Neodiprion lecontei: one gene and its partners. The protein of the gene in region 1 binds, or shares a complex with, the protein of each later gene. Links are inferred from orthologs where the notes say so. Each region holds a gene or a part of one and is shown on either strand. Other genes may lie near its edges. The genes, in order: transcription initiation factor IIE subunit beta, general transcription and DNA repair factor IIH helicase subunit XPD, DNA-directed RNA polymerase II subunit RPB3 and general transcription factor IIF subunit 2.

Region 1 (3,948 bases):
CAGTTATTTTCTGAAAAATTTTTCAACAGCAACTCTAGTTTTACAATTAGAGATATTGTAACGAATGATTTACGACGGGATACCCTGTATGTCCGTGGAGCTGAAACGCTTTCGTCGTTATATTTCAACTATTACAATTTATATTAATGCTGTAAAATAATCTGGTTGAAGGTTGTATAATTTGTGTAAATCGTAAGTTAAATTATTATACCCTAAGGTGCTGAAGACTTGACTTAGTGCCTTTAAGATCGATATAATTACCGTCGTTAATTTTACTATCATTCGTATTGTACTCAAATACTACGCTTTTGGAGTATTTTAATTGCCACTACCAAATAAGATCTTGCGGAAACTTGAATCCCGATGATCCAGCGCGCTAAGACAACAATCCGAACCCATGTAATTGGATCAAGCATTGAATAACGTGGATATCAGGAGAAAATTGTTTAACAAGCGTTAGAACAGATTAATCTTTGAATACACTTTGAACAGTTCTAATATATCAATGCAAATCACGAATCATGCTTTTTCCATTTCGCACAACTTGGCCGTGAGAAATAGAAAGCAAATTGCAAAGTTGCGCGAAAATCCTCGAAATCTCATGTCTGAAATGCACTTTCTATGGAATTCCATGGTGGCGGAAAAAGTATCAACGATCGTCGTTTGATACTTTGTTATTTTTTAAACTTTGTGCTACAATATACTTCGGTTCAATCATCATACCTATGTAGTCGCGAATACAACTAGGTAGACTTCCGATGTAACTAAATATTGCAAGACGAGAGGCTTATTGGTCTTTAATATATTCATTCAGAGAGAGGAAAGAAATGGCAATTGAAATATAGATGAAGCGGACTAGTTATTGTTCAAAATATTATAGATATATATTTATTTTGTACTTACAAGCTAGTTTAGACGATAACAATAATAAATCACATTGTTTATTTATTCTTATACAAACGATATTTACAATCCTTGATTAAGCCATCTATCTATAAAGTCTTTAAATTTCGGCTTCATTTATTGTCGTCGTAGGTTTCCAAAACATCTGCCAAATGCTCGTTGTCTCGTGGTTTTTTGAACTGCTTCTTCCTTGCGTTTGGTTTTTTCCTTTTAATGGGTGCAGGCTTCTTTGGTCCGTGATCCTGCATCGACCTAATTCCCTGTTTCTCAAGGTATTCATCGATCTTCTGATCGTCCATTGCGTCGACTGCAACAGCCCTCCACAATTTTTGAAATTCATCGTCGACTATAAATTGGGCCGTTTTGTCGTTGTAGAACACTATCTTTTTCTTATCCAAAGGTCTTGTTATGAAGAGTATTTCGTTCTGGAGACTCTGCGCATCAGTAAGATAAAAAATAACACGATTTGCACCAAAATAATAGCTCATTAATATCCTGAGGGAGAACGATTTACCTTCAGAGCTTTGTCGCAATGCGGCAAACTCTCCTGAATGTCTTCAAGCAGGATGCCTCCGAGTCCCTTAAGATCCTGCTGCTTCAAGAGTCTGAGTAACGATTTCTTGTCTTTTATTTTGTACATCGCTTTGAAGGAGAATCTTCCATCTGGAGAGACTTCGATCTTTGGATTGTTAATCAACGACTCTGTCAGCAGCCATTGTTTTACCTGCACGAATAAAGAATGGTAAATAGAATTACTGGTAGTATAGTTGAATTTTAATGCAAGCTCTGGCTTTAGCACGATTTATCTTTTGATTGAAATAATCGCAAGTATTTTTAAGCAGTTCTACAAAATGTTTGGATCACCTTAGATCCGACGTCGAGCTGATTTGTCTCGTCTAAAATCTCGTCGAGGGTGAGAGGATGGTCATCGCCCTCCTGATGCCGCGACTTCATGTGCTTAACTATTTTTGCCAAGACTCCGAATCTGTACTGCGAACTGCCAGACATGGTCTTGTAGTTGACCATGTCCAACTTCGGCGCGGCAGAGGAGGATAATGGCTTGCTCTTTTTTTTTGGCGGCTCATCACGGATCGGTTCCTTCTCGGGTTCTCTCTTTTTTTTCTCTACACTGAAAGTGTTAAGAGGCGGTTATTTCTTAAACTAAGCACTTCAGAGCCTTCCAATATTTTTCAATTCTTCGCAATGCGGTTAATTCACAGTTTCTCACTAATTTACAGGTTAGAAACGCGCAGCGTTGTTTTACTCACGTTGGTGTGGTGAGGGCTCGCTTTTTGAAGAGCTCTCGCTCCCTTAACAGCGCTGGATCCATTTCGTAATTCTTAAAACTTCTACCGTACGAGTTTATCACGGATATAAATGAATTTAACAAGTCTGCCTTTTAGATAGTTTACACTTTGCAGTTTACACCCTCAAAACAGTTGACAGGTGCGTTTCTAACGTTTTTCGCCTACCAGCGCCCTCTGATACGAAGAAGTTCGTGAACTAATTTTCGTTGGTAAGCGAATGTCGATATCGAAAGTAGTCGATAATGTAGAGTGCATTTATCACGGGGAATGCTGGTGGGTGGTTGAGAACTAACAGACGATAAACATTAGCGAACTTAGATTAATTGTCAGTATACATATTGACTGTGTTATATTATGGTGATCAGTGATTCGAAAGGGGAATTCATCTCTGTCCGCACGTACCATTCGCGGATTACCTTCGTGATACTTCATCTCTTGGATGTACTGTTATCTCTGCAGCGTAAGAAATGCGCCTGTGCCTGCTGGCGACGGCAACTGTCTAAGCACGGTTCCGACACGACGGCGACTTGATTCGGCAGCTTCACGCCGTGTCGGCGGGAAAATTGGCTCATGAAAATAGATACCGACGCAACGGTTGATTGCCGCGCGTTGAAACCCACGTGATTAGGTCAATGGATCTCAATTACATTTTCATTCGAAGAGTTAAAAAATCTAGGATTGTTAATTGAAAGTGTGAAAAAATGGAGAATATCAAATCTCTCGTTGAATTATGTCGAGAAAATGCGAAGAGGACACAGGGGTATTGTTTATTTATTGATTGTAATACAGGTTCCATGCAATAGTAATAATACAATATCATACATATCGTATCCTGCAGATGTATGTATGTACATACATTGCACCTGTGTGTAGGACAGAACTTGAACCGTACTCACAAACTACAAAAATAACTATCTCATACAACGTTTTTCGTATTTTGCTTGAAGTGATGTATATTTTACTTCTTTTTCCTCCTAGTCTCTTTGTCTTTCACTTTAATATTACTTGGCAGCTTGTTGAACACAGACTGTCTACATGTCTATAGATGAATACACTGACACCTGAACACTTGTACGAGAACTAAGACACATTGGATAAACTGGAACTGGAACTTTGTAGCTGTGAGTTTGTGATTTTGCTTTTACATCTCTTTGAAAACCCGGTACAAAATTCATGTTCTTTAGCCGTAAGTTTTTATGCGTAGCTGGCAGCGTGTCTAGACTGCGCAATGGATTCGTCTGGGAAAGTTAAGTCGAGATGGTGCACTGAAAAAGTAATTCAACTATTTTACAAAGTCAGACAAACTCCCACTGAAAAAATCCAAAGAGGTTAGTCCTACTTTTTGAACCAAAAAATCTTTTGTCTCAAATTGATTTGTTTGATGCCTTCTAGATTAATCGGACCCCCAAAAATGCAGAAAATATGACATCAAAAACAGCGTTGGACTAGCAGCAGAGAAATTTATAAAAAGACTTTCGGTTTTTTGACTCTACGACGAGAAAATTGCTACATGCTCAATACATAACGCAATCACCGGTAGTTGCGTATAGCTTCGTGTTTCTTATATCATATTTGTTGAAAATCGCTGTAAGTTTTCAATCGATATTTGGCAGTAATAATCACCAGTTAGGCAATACATAAGGTGGCCCTATACTGAAATAGTCGGTGGCAGTTTTCCGACTATTTTCATTGCAAGCAGCGGGTGGAAGTTAATACGAATATCGTTAATTAATTCGGA
Region 2 (8,035 bases), on another chromosome or scaffold:
AGATAACATCTTCAGGATTACATTTCATATCTATAGTATTTTCAGGAGATTATAATTGATGTCATTTCAGAACCTGTATTGCTTCTTCTGTTGATAAATTGCAAAGACTGTCTGTAAGGTGTTCTTGAATCCATTTGGGCAATTTGCTTCTTTTGTCCGCTCTTGAAAAACGCTGAAAAGTTTGTAAACCAAATCATTTTCAGTAACAACGTAGAAGCTATCATTTATCGACAGGAACTCCAATCTGTGATGAATTATAAAAAACTTTAAGGTACAGTACCTTGTCCGCGAACACCATGATACCATAGTCAGTTTTGCCTCTTATGGCTCGGCCAACGCACTGCGCGGCATGCCGCATTGCATCAAACGTTAAGAAATCATTTTCTCTTATCTGAAATTTAAAGAAAAATTGCACATTTTATGTCTTGATAGATTAGAAAAAACCTGACTGAAAATTTAATCCAAGGTATGTCATAACTTTTAAAATGACAAAACTTCTGATACTAACTTGAAATTGATCTCGTAGATATTCTAGTCTGGCTTTCAAGATCCGGGACTGAGTGTAAACATAAGGTATACCGAACATAAGAACAGCTCTTCCTAAATGGTGGTCAAAATCAACCCCCTCTGACACTTTGCCTCGAGCTACGGATAATAGAACAGCTCCACGTCCATTTTCGCATGCTTTTATGTAGTTCATCAAGGCCAAACTTGTTTCTGCAGAGTCTTGTGTCTCGATGAAGAGTAATTTGTGCCTCTGAAGTTGGTCTACTACTCCTTGATCATACCTAAAAAAAACATAACGATATTTTTTAATGATTGAATCATGTTTAGTCGAAATCCGGTCAGTTTTGTAATTAATTTATTTGGTTAAAAAACCACATGTTTCCGACGTTTCGGCCGGGCCGAAATATTTTTTAATCATAAATTCACACATGTGTTCAATTATTATGCTAGATTCTCTTCACTACCTACCATGCAGCAACTACAGATTCCATGTATGAATAAGAGGTGAAAAAACAGACTAAACCGTCTGGTACAGCTGCTGAGAATTCTACCAATAATTGTCCATAATTTCTTATCACGGCGACATCTTCTCTAGTTTCAAATTTAGATGATATCGCTACCTGGTCATTACCTTTGGCAACGATCTGAAAATTAATTGAACGATTGAACGGTCATCGTGAATGAAGTACTGCATTGTTTTTTTAACTGTAAAATATGCAAAGACGAAATCTCACCATTGGTAACAAACAAGGTCTTGCAAGAGTCATGGTAAACGACGACATGATTACAGGATGAAAATCTAAGATCTTTGGATACATGTCTAAGGGCGAAAGTGTTCCCGAGGTGATAATGACTGACTGAAATCTGTCAAATATTGGTTTCATAGCAATAGAACAATCGAGACAGCTAAAATGTAGAATTGGGTTTAGAACCGTTGGTGTTTTATCATCGAATGGTTCGACTATGATAGTGAAACCTTTTGTGTACGTGGAAACAAGAGTGGCAAGGTGCGTGACCAAAATCAGAGGCGAAAAATCTGTAACATCACTAATTTCCATCGTTCGTAAAAGCGATGCCAATCTCTCCGCGCAAAACTTCAGGGGTTTTCTTTCTATGCAAACTTTAGACTGGATGTCGCGTAGAAATCCAGCTGGCGATTCCTGCATTACATGCTGCACTCGAAGCCTTGTTTTTAGGTATTCTACAAACCGCTTCAAGAATCCAACAAAGTGTTCGGCATTTCTTATGTTGCCAGGAACAACCTCTGGAAAAAAGATACATGCATTTTTTAATCAGCGCTATATCTCACCGTAAGTAAAGCAAAGAAAATATAACCATTTCACAACATTTTCATTGATTTATCGGATGAAAGTTACTCATGTAAGTTAGACTTACCTTGAAGTACTTCATCTGGCAAAATTGGGTTGGACAAAATAATGTCAGTTTCTCTTGCCGTTTGCGCACCTTTGAGGCCTTCAACTAATCTACTGTATTCCTCTTTTAATTTATTCACGTCGTCTTCTCTCATCCTGAAAATCATAAATGAACGAATAACAAAGAGCAATGTCGGTTTTTATGAACTAGAAAATTTGTGTGAAACTTGGAACTTAATATCTATATAAACTAATTGTGATTTGGTTTAACTTACTCAGCCACAGTTTTCTCCAAAATTTGTATATTTGCCGTGCTTTTTTCAACTATTCTTTTGTTTATTTTGACGCTCATTGAGTCTATGCATACGTTGTCTGAAAATAATGTCGAAAATCTTCTGTTAAGTACAATGGATGTGGCCACACTTTTGGCTCCCCAATATCATTAACAATACGATGTAGTTTGTATATCCATTTGTTTCATGTGTTCAATTTATGCCCATGTATGCTGTATGCACGTATGTTCTTAAAAGTTTGATTAAATAGAAAATTATTACCGATGTTGTGTGCCTCGTCAAAAACTACAACAGATGTTTTACTCAATTCTTTAGATACAGTTTCAGCAATTTTTGGATCGAGAAGATAGTGGTAACTGTATACAACGATGTGAGCTTGCAGTATCTGAAAGATAAAAGAAAAGTTTTCAAATCTGTAACTGGACCACATGATTCAAACAGTTCCAGTCCTATGTAAAACAAAATATACATTGTTCAAGTCAAGAAATAAGAAGAGAGAAGTGGTGACAATAATATGACAACAAAAATTTTGTTTTCAAAAGAACGAGTAAAGAAACAGGTTTATAAATTAATAAATTAATTGATCAATGAACTTAAATAATTAACAGACCAACCGTAAATCTAGCCAAAAAATATGGACACCAATTCCTGTCTCTTCCATACTCTTTCAGGTCATCCAGGGAATAAATTCCAGCAGGCACAATCTGTTCACGTCCCTCTAAATCGAATCCCTCATAAAAGCTGCAAACTGGCGTTGATTCATCGTAATTATGCCTTTCTCTTATATACGAGGCAGTGAGGGAATGACATCGACCGTCAACAATTTTTCCTTCACGTTCCCTGCTTATCTGAAAAATATAATCATCTTATCAATCAGCTGATTCTTTGTTATTAGAAAATGAATGAATAATATACTCAACGAACTTCTGGATGTATGCACATGTTTTTCCTAGAGCTCAGCACCAATCCAACAAGTTTTGGCTTTACTCCATCCTCTTTTTCATAGTATTCTATAAGATTTTTTAATTCTTCTATGACTTTCTCTATCTCCGGTACTGTACGTGAGCAGTATATTAATTTAGTTATCTTCAAGGGGTTTTGCAGCATGTAAGCCACAATCAGTGACAGTAATGTCACAGTTTTTCCAGTACCCGAAGGCATTTCCAAGAGGCAATGACCCTGTAGAATATATATTCATTATATTAGAGACGCCTTAACTGATTTGATAATTTTTAATAATTTACTTTCCTATGCTTGTTGATACGTGTAATTATTTTTCAAATGATGGTATTAAAAATTATTAATCATTGAATTCTTTGAGGAGGATTAGCCTATTTCATGAAAGTAGCACTGAAAGACCAACAAAGTTTCTGTTAATTAATGTGTCTCAACTACAAAGAATTATTCTTAAACCTTCATGAAATTGACAAAGCTTGATTGCGAGTTATTAAACACAAAGGAATAAATTTATAGCTTGTTGTATGGCATTTAAAAAAAGCTCTTCCTGCATGAGAGCATGAGCAATATTTAGAAGTTTCCTCACTTAAAAACAAGCATTCTACTGTTTTTCCAAATAATTACAATGATTTTATTATTCATATGCATGGAAAGTAAGACATTGAAAACTTTTTAACTTAAAGAATGTTTACTCATCAGTTGGAGGAATCAATCTCTTGGCAAATCATTGAATCAGTTTTCCTTCAAAGTGTTTAAATTACATGAATAAACATATTTTGAAGGATCAAATCTTCGCAAGCTTCAGAGAAATAATAAAATAATGTATATTTATATCGTAAGATAAATTGTGAAGTTTGGAAACGCAGTTTGGAGGTTAAGAAGGCGAATTTGTAAGCTGCTTATTAATATGGGGTGTGATATCTCGTTATTAAAGGCAAGATTTACCCTAGCATCGAGACCTCGCTTGAGTTCCAACATGTACGCATACTGTTCCGGGTAAATGTAATCGTAGGGGAAGTACACAATCAATCCGTCGACACTGATTCTGTAAGAAGAAGATGCCAAGTTTATTTCATAATACGGAATACTTTCTCGTTGCTTATTGTTTGATAACGAAATTACACCCAGATAATTACTTCATTTTTGTTGTTTACGAATTTCTTTCTGCCACATTTATAACAAATCTACTTCACTGGTTCTTATTGTTTATAGCCTCCAAAGTTCACGTTTACGATGCTTACATGCGTCAGGTTGCCGACCGCTCGTGCGAATCCAGGGTATCAGGATTAGATTAGGTTAGTTTTTTTTCTGAATGTGACAGTTAAGTTAGGTGAGGTATTAAGGTGAACTTTCATGAGTAGCAAAAACCAGCAGCAGTTTAGTAACTTACTAGATGTTACTAACATCTGTCTAGGGTGTATTCCGCAAGGAAACTGTGGCAGTCCAGTAATAGTATATTTTGAATTTTCTAACTAGCGGTTGGTACTATTTACTGGTCATTTACTGCCAAAGTGTGCCACAGTTCCCTGGCGGAATACACCCCTAGTAATTTAACGTCGCAGCTGCACTGCTTATAAAGGCCGTGTTCGTAAATTGACTGACAGTACTGAAAATTCCCTAGGACAGAGTCAGAGCTATCCATGAACTTGGAAGCGCAAAAGAGATGAAAGATTGCTGACAGTACTGTCAGTCAATTTTCGAACACGGCCAAAAACATCTTGCGTTTGCTGCTCTGCTGGTCGGATGAATGAACTTCAATTTCTAACATTAGCGTATGTATGTACATACATAGCCACTTATATGGGTATTACCATACGTGATATGGCGAATCTCTGGAAGCTAGTCTGCACCAAAGAATCTTGACTACATGAAATTAGATTAGTGCATCAAATTGATTTCTATAGAGAAGTTTAGTCGAAATCGTATCGAAAAATTACATGCAAAGACTGTATTACAAATGCAGATGACAACATCACTACTATAACTGTTGCTTCAGTAAAATAGTATGATTGTGTGATATTTGAAAACCTTAGATAGAATTTTTGAAATACTGAGAACACTGTTGAAAATGAAGATGGAATGGGTACCCATGTTTTGTAAAAATTATTGGTAACAAAAACATTTGCAGAACTTCAGATTCGTACATTGGAAAATACTTTCGAATATTTAACTAGTTATTTCTAACCCGCGTTTGTGATATTTTGCTAGATGTGACAGACTTTGAAATTGAATTGTAATACGATACGTTTCGTTTCGCGTTCGTTGTATTTCGAAATTGTGCATTATACGTTGATGTAAATGTCAGCTTCCGCTAGGTTAAAATGCCCGTAGAATGGACAGAGGCGCGAGTTTACAAACTAGTTTTATCGTACATTCGGCACGAATGCCTGTGGAAACACGATAGTGATTCGTATAATGATTTGGAGGCACGGTACACCGCATACCTGGGGATAATTCGAGACCTGAACATTCGCGATCTGACCGTGAACGAGGTTCGCGACAGAATAAAGCAAATAAAGCGAATCTATCGCATGGAATTGGTAAAGATCAACGATGCTAACTTCCGGGGATTCCCCTACAAGCCAAAAATCACTTGGTTTGAATTGATCCACGAATTTTTACGCGCTTATATCACAGAACAGGATTCTAACGCCGTTAGTTTATTACCAGGATTAAAGTTCAATTACTGAAAAAAATTATTCCTATGTATATAACTATTCTGATCAAATTACCTTCGCATGTCTAGGATAGCTCGCTACATGTTGAGGCGAATAATGGTGAGCCAGAAGAATTCAACCATCACACCTCCCAGTCGTTGTTATATTCGCAACGTTGCTGTCCAATAAACCAGTGTCCCAGCTGTGTTAGACATTTTCCAACTCAACTCAATCTCGACATATCCCCAACAAAGTTGACGAAAAATGCTGTACCTTTAAAACAGAAAATTAATCTTGCCTCGCAACATGACTTTATCAGGCAGCAAACACCTAGAGCTTTGCAATCCATTCCGAATATCAGTTCATTTTCAACCTCTGGCGATTGTTCAATAATCAGAGCTTCGAACGCAGAAGTAAAGTCACAAGTCATAACCAATTCGATCAAGAAACACAAGTCGCAAAAAAAGTATGGCGATGAATTTGATGCTTTTGGTAAGAAAATCTTATAATTTGAAATGTTTAAAAGACTCTCTTGCAAAATACTAACGTTTTTTTGTACATTCTCCATGGGCTAATTGTCATATTTATACTTGCTAGGCAAAAGTGTCGCATGCCAATTGCGCGAACTGTCATTGCCACATGCGCTTCGAACTCAAACAAACATTCAGAGTCTGCTTGCTGAGGAGAGGATAAATTCTAACAAGGAGAAAGTGATTAATAACCAAAGTGCAGAGGAAGTCTCTCAACATCACAGGCACTACAGGGATTCTCGGTGGACGCAACCTTCGAGGAATAGTCGTTCGTCATTCATCTGCAATGCAAATTTCCAATGTCCATCAGCTAGTGATTTGAGCTCTTCTGGTCACCTGAGTAATGGAAGACGCACGAAACTTGTTGAAAGAAATCAGATAGTGAATTGTCATCCGGATAATTGTATTGCCTCTAAAATTTCATATAAAAAAGCTAGTCTAAAAACTTAGTAGGAATTTAACATCTGTAGCACAATTATAAATTTCTTACATAAGCATTCACATCGTCAAAACAAGGCAAAGTGACGCGTTTAAAGTCTACGAAAAGTTTCTATTCCAAGGAAATCTGGAGTTAGTGTGTTAAAATGTTTGATGATTCATTCACGTTTGCTAAACATATTTTTTATAGTATGGTTACTTCTAATTTTGGTGTTCCTAAGTACATGTTTTTCATCTTAGTAGCAGTCTGATAAAAAATAATTTTGTATGTAATGTATTTTTTACATGAAGTTATGGATATCTTTTTGTAAAACGATTATGTCAATATACATCAATTTCTTTTATAACATAATAATAATAATCACGTTCAGTCCCGCCATATGTGTGTATGTACTCATAATCGGACAGCTTATACAGGGTGAGACAGGCATCGGTTAGTGACCATTATTATGTGTCTGCTGTCATTTTAAGATGTTTATTAGAAACATCCGCATTCACACAGAGGATAAGGAAAACTGTGAAAAACCTTCCCCAAGTGTGGCCATGCCGAGTTCAAATCTCAGCTTGTCAATTCAGCACCTGTTCGACATGATTCATCTGACCCATCATTTGAACTCAAGACCTCCCATTCTGTAGTTTCGCATACTATGTGCAATGCTCCGACGTTTGATTTTACTCTATTGAGAAAATCAATTTTTCCTCAATTGAATAAAACAATTTTTACTGTAAAAGTATTAGATTGGTAAAGGAGATAATTGTTTCCATCTCTGCCTAGTGGGAATCCCAACTTCATATCACCGAGCTGTTACGGAAATAATAGTTCTTTCACTTGTAAGATAGTCATGAATACGCAGGTGACATGAAATAACAGGTATAAAAGCTTTAGAATTCAACTACATCCTCTATAATTCAGGATGACCGAAGGCCAGTAATAATAGGTCTTTCCTCCTGACTTGCAACAACAGCAATTTTCTCAGTCAACCCTCACACTGTATGATTTCGTCTTGCATTTTTCATCCAGCCATCACCTGGCATGTCCAGAAGACGCAATCTGAGAAACAGTTCAAGCTGTCTCAAATATATTGGAAGTTTTGAGAAAACTCATGGTCAGTTCTCCGTTTTCCATTTCGAACTCTTTCCATTCTCCTCAGTCAATTCGTTAATTTCATTAAGAATTATGATCAAGCTTGAAACTTCTCTGTGGTACATAAGTATTTTTTTAAGAGGATTGTCGTTTTGGCCGCTATCCTCGGAAGCTTCAGTTGTCACAAAAACGATAA
Region 3 (4,141 bases), on another chromosome or scaffold:
TCAAGGTTTTCAAGTTCAAAATGGTTGGATACAGATAGATACTTAATTCATGTGAACAACGAGAGAATGTTTGCTTTGAACCCAGACAAGGAAGCTTGTTACATTAAACAGCTATTTTTTAAAGATGAGACGACTTCAGGTTTTATATCAAAATTTTTTTTATATCTCTTCTACTTTATAAATTTTTCAATAATTTTTAAATGTTTGAAATAAAACGATGAATTATCAAAAAAACTTTTTCGCTTTCAAGACTACGTACCAAACTTTACGAATTTTGATTTCAAATGCACCGTTTCAGAAAATACGACATAATCGATTAATTTTTACTGATTCAATCGAGATGCGTTAGATTATATTTTGGACTTAATCATTTTTGCCTTAGTGGCCATCGCTAAATTGTACCAAGATAAGTAAACAGTATTTCACATCCATAGAGGATGAAACGCCATCTCATATACGCTACGGTATTATTGTTTCGGTATAAATTCTGAACTATAAAAGAAAAAATAGAACAACAGTTACTATGATTTTTATTGTTATTATTATTTTTATTAAATCGATAGTTTGAGTGCTTGTGGGGATAAATTATTACAGATATTTAGTGATGAATGCTAAGTGCGTCATTTTGTACTTCGTGGCTCAGCTGTGTCTGCAGATTAGACAATTTGTTTTTCAGGGCAACTATACCCATCATGACAATATTTTCGGGCTTCAGAGCACCACTGCTTTCGACATTGAAATAATACTTGTTAGGCTTCGCTTCCCAGTTGAACGGCGCTTCATCTGTACATACAAAAAAATAAGAACTGCGTGTAGATGCACAAATTGTTTGAAGTAAGTTAAAATTTTCTTCATTTAATTACTCTTACACTGATCTTCATCGAGCTCAGTATATTCCGACTTTGGCCACTCATCGGGCTTGGGAAACAATGTATGACGCATCGCATTGTCTGGATCATATTCAAAGCTGACACCAGCAGTGGGGTTCCACTTGGCGTGTTCTTTTCCAAATCCCTTTTTTGCATAAGCTCTCAGCTTTAGTTCCTGGCCTTTTCGCAGTTTGACGATGAGTATTTCTACAAACGAAAGGATCAAAACATTGTGTAGGAATAATTTATGATATCAAAGCAACTTATTAATGCTACAAACTAAACAGAGTGGTCATGAAAACTGTAAACCAACCATCTGTCTCTCCATATTCGCTTGCATCGTCTTCTCTGTGTCTCGAAGTAACTGGCAGCACTCTGGGGTCACTGGATTTCAGATCGGCTGTTGTCACATGTCTAGTTTGATCCTCTGCGCACTTGACATCCAGTGTGAATTCGACACTGCAGTCAGGGCAGAAATCCATACACTGACAGTCCCTTGTGTATAAAATTCTGTCAACCACCTACGAAAACAAATGAACAGGCAGTAGAACTATTGTTCTTTCTTAGCAAGAAATGGTTTCAAAAATAAATCGATCTCACGTCGTCACTGATCAACGGTATCATTCCAATCCTATGTGCAAGAAACTCGTCACTTAAAACTGTTGAATTCGCTTCAAGCTGTATCCAGTCTATGGCCATTGTCGGAGTTTCGGCAATAAACACTCGCCTCATGCTGTTGGCTACGCTGCACCACAGAACATACGAGGTTATAATGAGATTGAACGCTAGTCTGTTTTGTCAAGCGACTGAAAAAGCAGGTGGCAAAAATGGCGAATAAAATTTTTTAAGGCAAATTTTTACAGCTACATCATAAATTTTTCCGAAAAATTTGAAAAATACAGCGAGTTTATAAGAAGATCGTTTTGATTAAAACACGTCGAGTTAGGTTAGGATTTTGTTTTTTTACCTTAGTTCGGTGTCTTCTACCTGAAATTTAACGTTCTCTTCTGTGAGATCGGTTATATGAACCGAAGGCTGATTAGCGTACGGCATTCTGTATTATTTTATTCTCAATTAATGCAAAAATGCAAAAACACTCCACTGTTTTCGCAATAAACTCAAACTTGTCATTTGTGCACGGTTATTCAATGTTCAATGGTCACTTGAAGTAGAATGTGTGCCGAAATAATCCGTTAGCTCCAAAAAATCCCATAGGTTAACGCAAGATGGCCACCAAGATACGGTGCATCATGCCCCTGACACTCACCACTGCTCGTATACTAAAAATCTGTACGCGTCTTGTCCCCGTTTTTTAGTTCCTTTACGTGGCGCTAGTAGACTTCTGACACGCTCGCTGCCCTTGCTGACCGCGCGCAAGCTCCTTAGGTCACTACTAGCGCCACTAGTGGTGGAAATTAGCGGCAGAATCGAAGGACATTTTGCGAACCACATTTAGCAGCGTGTGTCAGGGGGTTGCGGTGCTTCATCAGTGATAGACTGCACGATTTCAATGCCTGAGTGGTGCATAGAGCGCGCAGCTACTTTAAGCCTATGGTTTGGTATCGTTCGGGAACCTTCGTGCATTATCGGAGGCGACGCAGTTTTCAGCGCTCCCGCCGAAATGGTTAACAGTTGGCAAACCTGAGTGTGTCCACGCACCGTGTTTGTTATTTCTCTGTGTTAAAAGTACGCTCTAAACACGATTTTTGGGAGCCCGATTAATACCCCGAAGCGTAAAAAACCCTCAGTAAAAATAAGCCGGTAGAATAACGCCCGGACGCGCCGTTTTCGTGTGGCGTCGATCCGTCGTTGTGATGGGTATCAAACGTCACTCTGAATACACTGTGTGAGCTAACCGGACCCAACGATCGTCCAGCTCGCAGACTAACATGTACATCAAACAGGTAAGCCGCCCTCAAATCTCACTGCAGTCATTTCGAAAATCATCCTGAATGATAACGTTGCATTTTCTTCTAGGTTATCATACAAGGTTTCAAATCCTATCGAGAACAGACCGTTGTAGTGCCCTTCGATCCGAGGCACAATGTGGTCGGTGAGTAGAGATATTCTTCTTTCCGTACCTTTAGTTTTGTCTTTCAGATTTCATGATTCTATCAGCCCTTTTATACATTTTTACTTGTTCAAGTCGGCAGGAATGGATCGGGCAAGAGCAACTTTTTCTACGCTATCCAGTTTGTGCTTAGCGACGAATTCTCCCACCTTCGGCCTGAGCAGCGTCAAGCCCTTCTCCACGAAGGCACGGGTCCACGCGTCATCTCTGCTTATGTCGAAATTATCTTTGACAACTCGGATGGACGTCTTCCGGTGGGTTTTATTACACCACATCAGCAAGGTTAACGCTTCCTGGCTTATACCTTGGAGCACACAAGGCTGCACAGTTTTCTAAAATTTATATTGAAACAAGATAACGATCATTACGTTGGCAGTTGGTTGTTTTTTATTCTCTGGTTAATTTATCATCCAGATACGAAGTTGTTTTGCAGAAATATCTGTTTAATTTTTGGCTTCACTGTCTTTACAGATCGACAAGGATGAGGTTTATCTCAGGCGAATGATCGGGTCGAAAAAAGATCAGTACTTTCTGAACAAGAAAATAGTGACGCGAAGCGACGTCATGAATTTGCTCGAATCGGCTGGATTTTCCAGGTCCAATCCATATTACATCGTCAAGCAGGGAAAGGTATGCGCCAATAATAAGTTTTGTATATTTTGTATTTTGCTAAATGTCAAATAATCCGAATGATACTAACTACATTCGATATTATTGTGTATTCAGAATTTTATAGGAATGACTAATATAATTTCATTCTCTGAAATCGATTGTTTCCTTGACTTTCATCAGATCAACCAAATGGCAACGGCCCCAGACTCGCAGCGGTTGAAATTGCTCAGAGAAGTGGCCGGCACTCGAGTCTACGACGATAGACGCGAGGAGTCAAAGGCGATCCTTAAAGAGACTGAAGGAAAGCTTGAGAAAATAGAAGACTTTTTGCGAACCATAGGTGAGATGATTCGATTGTAGTTATACATTCCCCAAAGGTGGTACAATCTCATGATTTCACACACTTGTAACCTTACAGAGGAGCGTTTGAAGACATTGGAGGAGGAAAAGGAGGAGCTGAAGGAGTACCAACGCTGGGACAAACAGCGGCGGTGTCTGGAGTACACAATCCACGAACGCGAGCTGAAGGAAAGTAAGAAAAAGCTGGAAGACTTGGAAGAGTCACGCGCTAACAGCGGTGCTATGCAAG
Region 4 (5,465 bases), on another chromosome or scaffold:
TCAACGAGTGCAGAAAAATCATGTAATCAGTGCGACTTTCCTGCTCATGGGATACGTCAAGGAGCGAGAGATGCGAGTCGAGGTCGTCAAAGAGGATCATATGGCATCTGCGAAGGAGAAATTTGAAAAAATAATATCCGAGCATATTTACAGCTTGCAAAAAACTCTCCCTGAGATAGAGCTACTCGCCATTACTGACAAAGGCGATTCTCAATTGAGCGCTGTCCACTCTTCTCAGTCTGTTCTCAGGTCTGATCATGAGATGGAAGTTCTTCGTTGGGGTAGCGCCTTGTTAGCGAATAAACAGATGAAAAACAATACTCAGATTACAGCTCCGAAAGTTCGGGCAAATGCGAATACCGAGTCGAAGCTTACTGATCAGGCCAAGAATGTCAAGGAGTCCGGTGCTAAATCGACCACAAATAAAACAGCAGCGGCTAATTCGAGTGCAAAAACACAGAAAACTGCCTTCAACAATTTTTTTGCTAAGGCCATAGATAAGCAAAGCAAGGAGAAGACATCTGTGAAAGGTGTGAAGAGTAAACCTGTTGCGTCAAGCAGTAGTTTGACAACTACTTCACCCCATAAGAATAACTGGTTCGAGGAGAAGAAGAAACCTATTAGTTCGGACAACAAGGAGGCAAAAGAAAATCCGGAGAATATTAGCGATTCAAAAAAGCCTAAACTTAATGAAGACAAAGAAAAATCTCCGAAAACTAATTTACCGAAAAAGAATGCATGGTTTGAAGCAAAGAAAAAGCCTCCAAGTACCAGCGACAAGGAAGCAAAAGTACAGGTGGAGAGTTGCAGCGATTCGAAAAAGGCCAACGTAGAAAAGTTTGAAGAAAAATCACCACAGACTGAAAAAGTTAGCAAACAAGAATCGGCGGTGAAAAATCTCAGCTCTGGGAAAACTGGCGATAAAAAAAAAGTAGCATCTTCTTCACGAGGAAAAAAACGCAAGACTTCTTCAAAGGGCGAGAATACTAATAAGAAACGAAAACGTATAGTTGTGATATCTAGTGACGAATCAAGTGATGACAGCGAGACTAGGGATGATATTGAGGAACCTGATAGTTCTGAAGAACCACCGCAAGTTGTTGAAAGAGTTAAAAGTTCTCCTTCGCCACCTCTGGTCAAGTGTGAAGGCGGGAGGCGCAAAGTTCGGAAATTGGTCGATAAAACGTTTGTCGATGAAGATGGGTATTTTGTCACTCAAAAAGAATACGTTTACGAAAGTTGTTCAGATAAGGAAGAGGAAATGCCGGTAGAGGCTGCAAAACCTTCTACCGCTGATGTTGCAGCAAAGACTGCTAACAAGCGGAAGCAAGTATCGCTGCTTAATTTCTTCAAGAAGTCGTAGTTAACTAATACGTGGAAAATGTAACTGTAATGATGAATTAAAATATTCGTTGAATATATGCAAGTCATAGACGTGAACTATACTGTACATTACTGAATTTCAGCGGGAAAATATGAAATTACTCGCAATAAAGATAGAATATTTTTGATTCGTATTAAGGAAAGGAATAAGGAATTAGCGATGCTTTCTTTACAATCAAATTATGGAAAGTTATAAATTTTACGTCTATTATATTTGTTTCTGTCGTAATCTTTTTTTTCCTGTTACCTGATCAAACCCCTTTTTTTTTTTCTTTCTTCTTTTTCACGAATCCAGAACGTAGAAGTTGTGCAATCACAAGAACTGTACATACCGAAGAACAAATCTGTTATTTTTGTTAATAAATGCGCATGATATGTTTAGGTAGGGGTTTACAATAATACCGCGATATTTGAATACGTGTAAAAGCCCGGCGTTGACTCTTCTGGTAAGCCGTTCTCACTGCTGCCAAATATAATAACTAAATTTCCCCAGAATTTCGTAAAAGGTAGTCCTTTCAATTTTTACAACAGACTATCAGAAGCAAGTGTTTCTGTTGTATGTACAATTTATTTTACCTCTATTTAAACAGTTATTTACAGAAGATAAGTATAACGGAGTATTACCCTTCATTTCGCCTCGTTAAATACTGAAAGTCTATAATTATTGAGGCCATTTGCAACAAGGTAAGCAGTGCCAATATTGAAATCTGGCCACTTTAATAGTCAGTTTGGTTAGGTTTGAGATAGTTAATGTTTGTATCCAATATGCAATAAGTAATTAGGTTAAAGGTGACAGAAACTAGCGTTCGACCCATAATTGCCAGGATGAATGCGAGAATGGAAACTGAAATATTTTATTTTCAGGTATCATGTCTGCACCGCCTCCTCACACAGACCGAGAATTAGATTTGAGTAATGCAGGACGAGGAGTATGGTTGGTTAAGGTTCCTAAATATATTGCGAACAAGTGGGAAAAGGCTTCCGGAGATATAGAAGTTGGCAAGCTGAAAATCACAAAGTTTGTTAAAAATGTTAAATTAACCGAAGATCGTTTACGATTGTAGAAATGACAATCATTCCATCGCTCCACACCCTCCCCTTGATCATGAGGGTTGTTTTATCCGCAGAAATCCAGGGGCCAAAGCAGAAGTTTCTCTAAGACTTTCGGAAGCTGTTTTAGCTCTGAAGGAACGAGAGGAAGAGGAAATTCCAAAGGCACACCGGCTGGATGTAACTACTGTCACTCGTCAAATGCTGGGTGTATTTTCTCATGTCACACGTGAGTGTGAACAATTTTTGTGGCTGTATGCTTTTCTTTCAAAATCACTAAAACCATTAGCTAGTCTATTATTACTTTGATCCTAGAATTGCTCAAAGTACGAATTAATAAATTAGGACAATGCAGCATGCATTCTCTGGCTTGAATCTATGCATCTACTAAATTGTCTATTCCAATGATTTTTACAGCTGCTAGCACTTCGGATGCTATTGTTCCAGAGACTGAAAAACTTTACATGGAGGGTAGAATAGTGCAGAAACTTGAATGCCGCCCTTACGGTAAGTATGGGTGATTCAGAATCGTTGAACCTTGACTTTAGTGGCAAATTTTCAGAAAAGTTCAATAGATTGAAATATTCTTCCAATCTTCGACTGCGTTGTTAATTTAAATTCGAAATTACATTTTTAGCTGACAACTGCTACATGAAGCTTAAGTTGGAAAGCATAAAACGAGCATCGGTGCCTCAGAGGCAAGTTCAACAATTGGATAGGGTTGTACAGAATTTCAAACCTGTATCTGATCACAAACACAACGTAAGTTATGAATGTAATTGTTGAAGAATTTTACCGTGTTTTCTGTTTGTCTTTATTTGGAGATTTTATCTGCATTATTTTTACAGATCGAATATGCCGAAAAGAAGAAGGCTGAAGGCAAGAAGATGAGAGATGACAAAGACGCGGTATTAGAGATGCTATTTGCAGCATTTGAGAAACATCAGTACTACAATATTCGAGACCTTGCCAAAATCACCAGGCAGCCTATCGTAAGTTATGCCACAATCTTATAAAATTTTTTTGCAGACATATACGATTTTTCTGAGAATTGGGGAATTACACTTTTGCAATGATTCATGAAAAAATTGATTTACAGGTTTACTTGAAAGAAATTTTGAATGAAGTGTGCAATTACAACTTGAAGAACCCGCACAGAAATATGTGGGAATTGAAACCTGAGTATCGTCATTACAAGGATGATCAGAAGCCAGCGGCAACTGCCACAAAAGTTGATGACTCAGACGATGATTAGTACTTTGTTTTATATACTTTTTTAGAATGTTTGGACGATTTGCTGCCTGTGATTTGCTAGTTCAGATCTTGATTTACTGAGTTCACTGATTACAATCGATCAACTCATAGATCGATGCAATTTCTTAAATGGAAATTTATTTGATTCGTAAAGGCGTTCCAGGAATAGCTTCGGTGAATTTAAGCAGAGTTTGTGAGATAGTAAAGTGATAAATCGCGTCCCCATGGAATAATTCTTCTATATCGACGCCAGGCAAAGAGAGAAAATAAAAGACTTTCTCTTGTCATAGGATCCAAATAATAGGGAAATTTGCGGAAATCCGCATTGGATGATTTGTAAATAGTGATATATTGTATTTATTTTTACATCAATCGTTTAGATGCGAAGAGAGAAGTTGAAGAAGCAAAGACTTTATCTCAGATGTAGATTTGTTCATATTGTTACTCGACATAAGTTTCATACGGAAATATTAAAGAGAATCTACAAATATAATGGTGCGTAGGAGTAAAAAATATATCAAAGCATAATGAAACGGTAATGCACTTTAAAAAAAATTACATTACAGTATATTTAAACATATATATATAAGATACAATTACACCAGCCATCATGCTCTGATTTATAGAAATCAAATCAAGGCTTCTGCTCATCCCAAAGCATAGGGAGACTGTCTGGCTGTCTCAAGAGTAAAGCTGCCTCTGGCACTGCAAAAATAATGTTAATCGCTCATTAGTTCCGAAGCTGTAATGGCAAAGCTCCAAAGTTTTTTTCTCTTTATTGTAACTGGTTTGATACTAATAATTCTCGGTGGACATACACAAGTATCTCCGCAGCTGTTTTCTGTACTAAACAAAGTTTTTCTACTCGTACTTACAATTTGTTAAAAACTCTACCACCCATGTACACTTCGTTGTGTCGGTCAAGTGCTTCCAGGTACATTGAACGTGTTCCTGTGGCACGGAAACCGGTCGGGTTCCTGATAGATTCTGCGAAGAAGTAATAGGCGCGGGAATGGGCGCAGCTCCCTGTAAAGGATAATGTGTTAGAGTGCTGCGATATGCGCAATGACAAACTCTCAACTTGTGCGAAACTTACCGACAAGGTCCAGTCCGCATCCAGGCTGACTGCTACCGCCGTTGGGGTAAAAATCGGTATCACCAATGGCATCCATGATGCCGAGAAGTCCTCCATTTGTGTGGATTATCTGAACATGGTCAGCGTCAGTTTGGTGAATTCGGGATCCAGCTCCAGCAGAGTTAAAAAGAGGAAGCGCTGGGTCGAGACCTGTGAAAATATTCGTGCAATGATGAAAAACGATTCCTTGTGTAAAGAAGACCGGATTTTCGAACGAGTTAAAGAATCTCATCTGCCTTTTACTCACCTATGACAGCGTCGATTGTGCCCTCAGCGTTGCGGGCAGCAATTCCAGACACGTGAGCACCTAGAGAGTGTCCAACGAGTTTCGTCGATGCTACGTTGAGGCCGGCGTTGGCGCTGAGGAAGTTGATCATCAGACTAACTCTGGCGGCAACACCTCTGACGCTTGATGAAGCACTCACGTAAAGAGCACCAGCAATGGAACTCCAATCGATCACAATCACGTTGTAGTCGCCTTCAGCTAGGTAGGCTGAGGATAAAAACGAGGAGATATGAACACAAATATGAACACAGGACTCAACGATGTGAAGTCAAATTACGTCTTAGAAAAAACAATTTTCCTGTAATTCTTACAACCGGTGTGAACTTAGCATCCCCATCATCTCTATGTCAAAAACAT

Evidence for each region.
Region 2: transcription initiation factor IIE subunit beta (region 1) and general transcription and DNA repair factor IIH helicase subunit XPD share a complex: the UniProt entries of both Homo sapiens proteins name them as parts of the TBP-based Pol II pre-initiation complex. The link is inferred for Neodiprion lecontei from reciprocal best matches to the Homo sapiens genes GTF2E2 and ERCC2.
Region 3: transcription initiation factor IIE subunit beta (region 1) and DNA-directed RNA polymerase II subunit RPB3 share a complex: the UniProt entries of both Homo sapiens proteins name them as parts of the TBP-based Pol II pre-initiation complex. The link is inferred for Neodiprion lecontei from reciprocal best matches to the Homo sapiens genes GTF2E2 and POLR2C.
Region 4: transcription initiation factor IIE subunit beta (region 1) and general transcription factor IIF subunit 2 share a complex: the UniProt entries of both Homo sapiens proteins name them as parts of the TBP-based Pol II pre-initiation complex. The link is inferred for Neodiprion lecontei from reciprocal best matches to the Homo sapiens genes GTF2E2 and GTF2F2.

Annotation. Positions count from the first base shown.
Region 1 is NC_060261.1:43,445,250-43,449,197, reverse strand, and holds transcription initiation factor IIE subunit beta, read right to left. Parts: upstream 2,371-3,948; 5' UTR 2,234-2,370; coding exon 2,172-2,233; intron 2,033-2,171; coding exon 1,768-2,032; intron 1,628-1,767; coding exon 1,418-1,627; intron 1,338-1,417; coding exon 1,017-1,337; 3' UTR 541-1,016; downstream 1-540. UniProt on the Homo sapiens protein: Recruits TFIIH to the initiation complex and stimulates the RNA polymerase II C-terminal domain kinase and DNA-dependent ATPase activities of TFIIH. Both TFIIH and TFIIE are required for promoter clearance by RNA polymerase.
Region 2 is NC_060266.1:18,325,600-18,333,634, forward strand, and holds the start of general transcription and DNA repair factor IIH helicase subunit XPD, read right to left. Parts: upstream 6,002-8,035; 5' UTR 5,871-6,001; coding exon 5,863-5,870; intron 4,452-5,862; exon of another isoform or gene 4,272-4,451; coding exon of another isoform or gene 4,267-4,271; intron 4,176-4,266; coding exon 4,076-4,175; intron 3,353-4,075; coding exon 3,098-3,352; intron 3,022-3,097; coding exon 2,788-3,021; intron 2,559-2,787; coding exon 2,435-2,558; intron 2,253-2,434; coding exon 2,156-2,252; intron 2,037-2,155; coding exon 1,903-2,036; intron 1,772-1,902; coding exon 1,242-1,771; intron 1,152-1,241; coding exon 976-1,151; intron 789-975; coding exon 509-788; intron 392-508; coding exon 281-391; intron 173-280; coding exon 74-172; intron 1-73. Other genes in the region: odorant receptor 83a-like, read left to right, coding at 7,933-8,035. UniProt on the Homo sapiens protein: ATP-dependent 5'-3' DNA helicase. Component of the general transcription and DNA repair factor IIH (TFIIH) core complex, not absolutely essential for minimal transcription in vitro.
Region 3 is NC_060264.1:23,015,973-23,020,113, reverse strand, and holds DNA-directed RNA polymerase II subunit RPB3, read right to left. Parts: upstream 2,131-4,141; 5' UTR 1,923-2,130; coding exon 1,837-1,922; intron 1,615-1,836; coding exon 1,470-1,614; intron 1,391-1,469; coding exon 1,183-1,390; intron 1,077-1,182; coding exon 870-1,076; intron 784-869; coding exon 599-783; 3' UTR 523-598; downstream 1-522. Other genes in the region: structural maintenance of chromosomes protein 3, read left to right, coding at 2,759-2,773, 2,847-2,922, 3,016-3,194, 3,412-3,570, 3,733-3,892, 3,971-4,141. UniProt on the Homo sapiens protein: Core component of RNA polymerase II (Pol II), a DNA-dependent RNA polymerase which synthesizes mRNA precursors and many functional non-coding RNAs using the four ribonucleoside triphosphates as substrates.
Region 4 is NC_060262.1:4,432,730-4,438,194, reverse strand, and holds general transcription factor IIF subunit 2, read left to right. Parts: upstream 1-1,889; 5' UTR 1,890-2,067; intron 2,068-2,113; exon of another isoform or gene 2,114-2,172; intron 2,173-2,247; 5' UTR 2,248-2,252; coding exon 2,253-2,401; intron 2,402-2,510; coding exon 2,511-2,662; intron 2,663-2,850; coding exon 2,851-2,940; intron 2,941-3,070; coding exon 3,071-3,195; intron 3,196-3,281; coding exon 3,282-3,425; intron 3,426-3,532; coding exon 3,533-3,688; 3' UTR 3,689-4,334; coding exon of another isoform or gene 4,335-4,392; 3' UTR 4,393-4,562; coding exon of another isoform or gene 4,563-4,713; 3' UTR 4,714-4,783; downstream 4,784-5,465. Other genes in the region: DNA polymerase delta subunit 3, read left to right, coding at 1-1,363; phospholipase A1 VesT1.02, read right to left, coding at 4,335-4,392, 4,563-4,713, 4,784-4,972, 5,070-5,315. UniProt on the Homo sapiens protein: TFIIF is a general transcription initiation factor that binds to RNA polymerase II and helps to recruit it to the initiation complex in collaboration with TFIIB.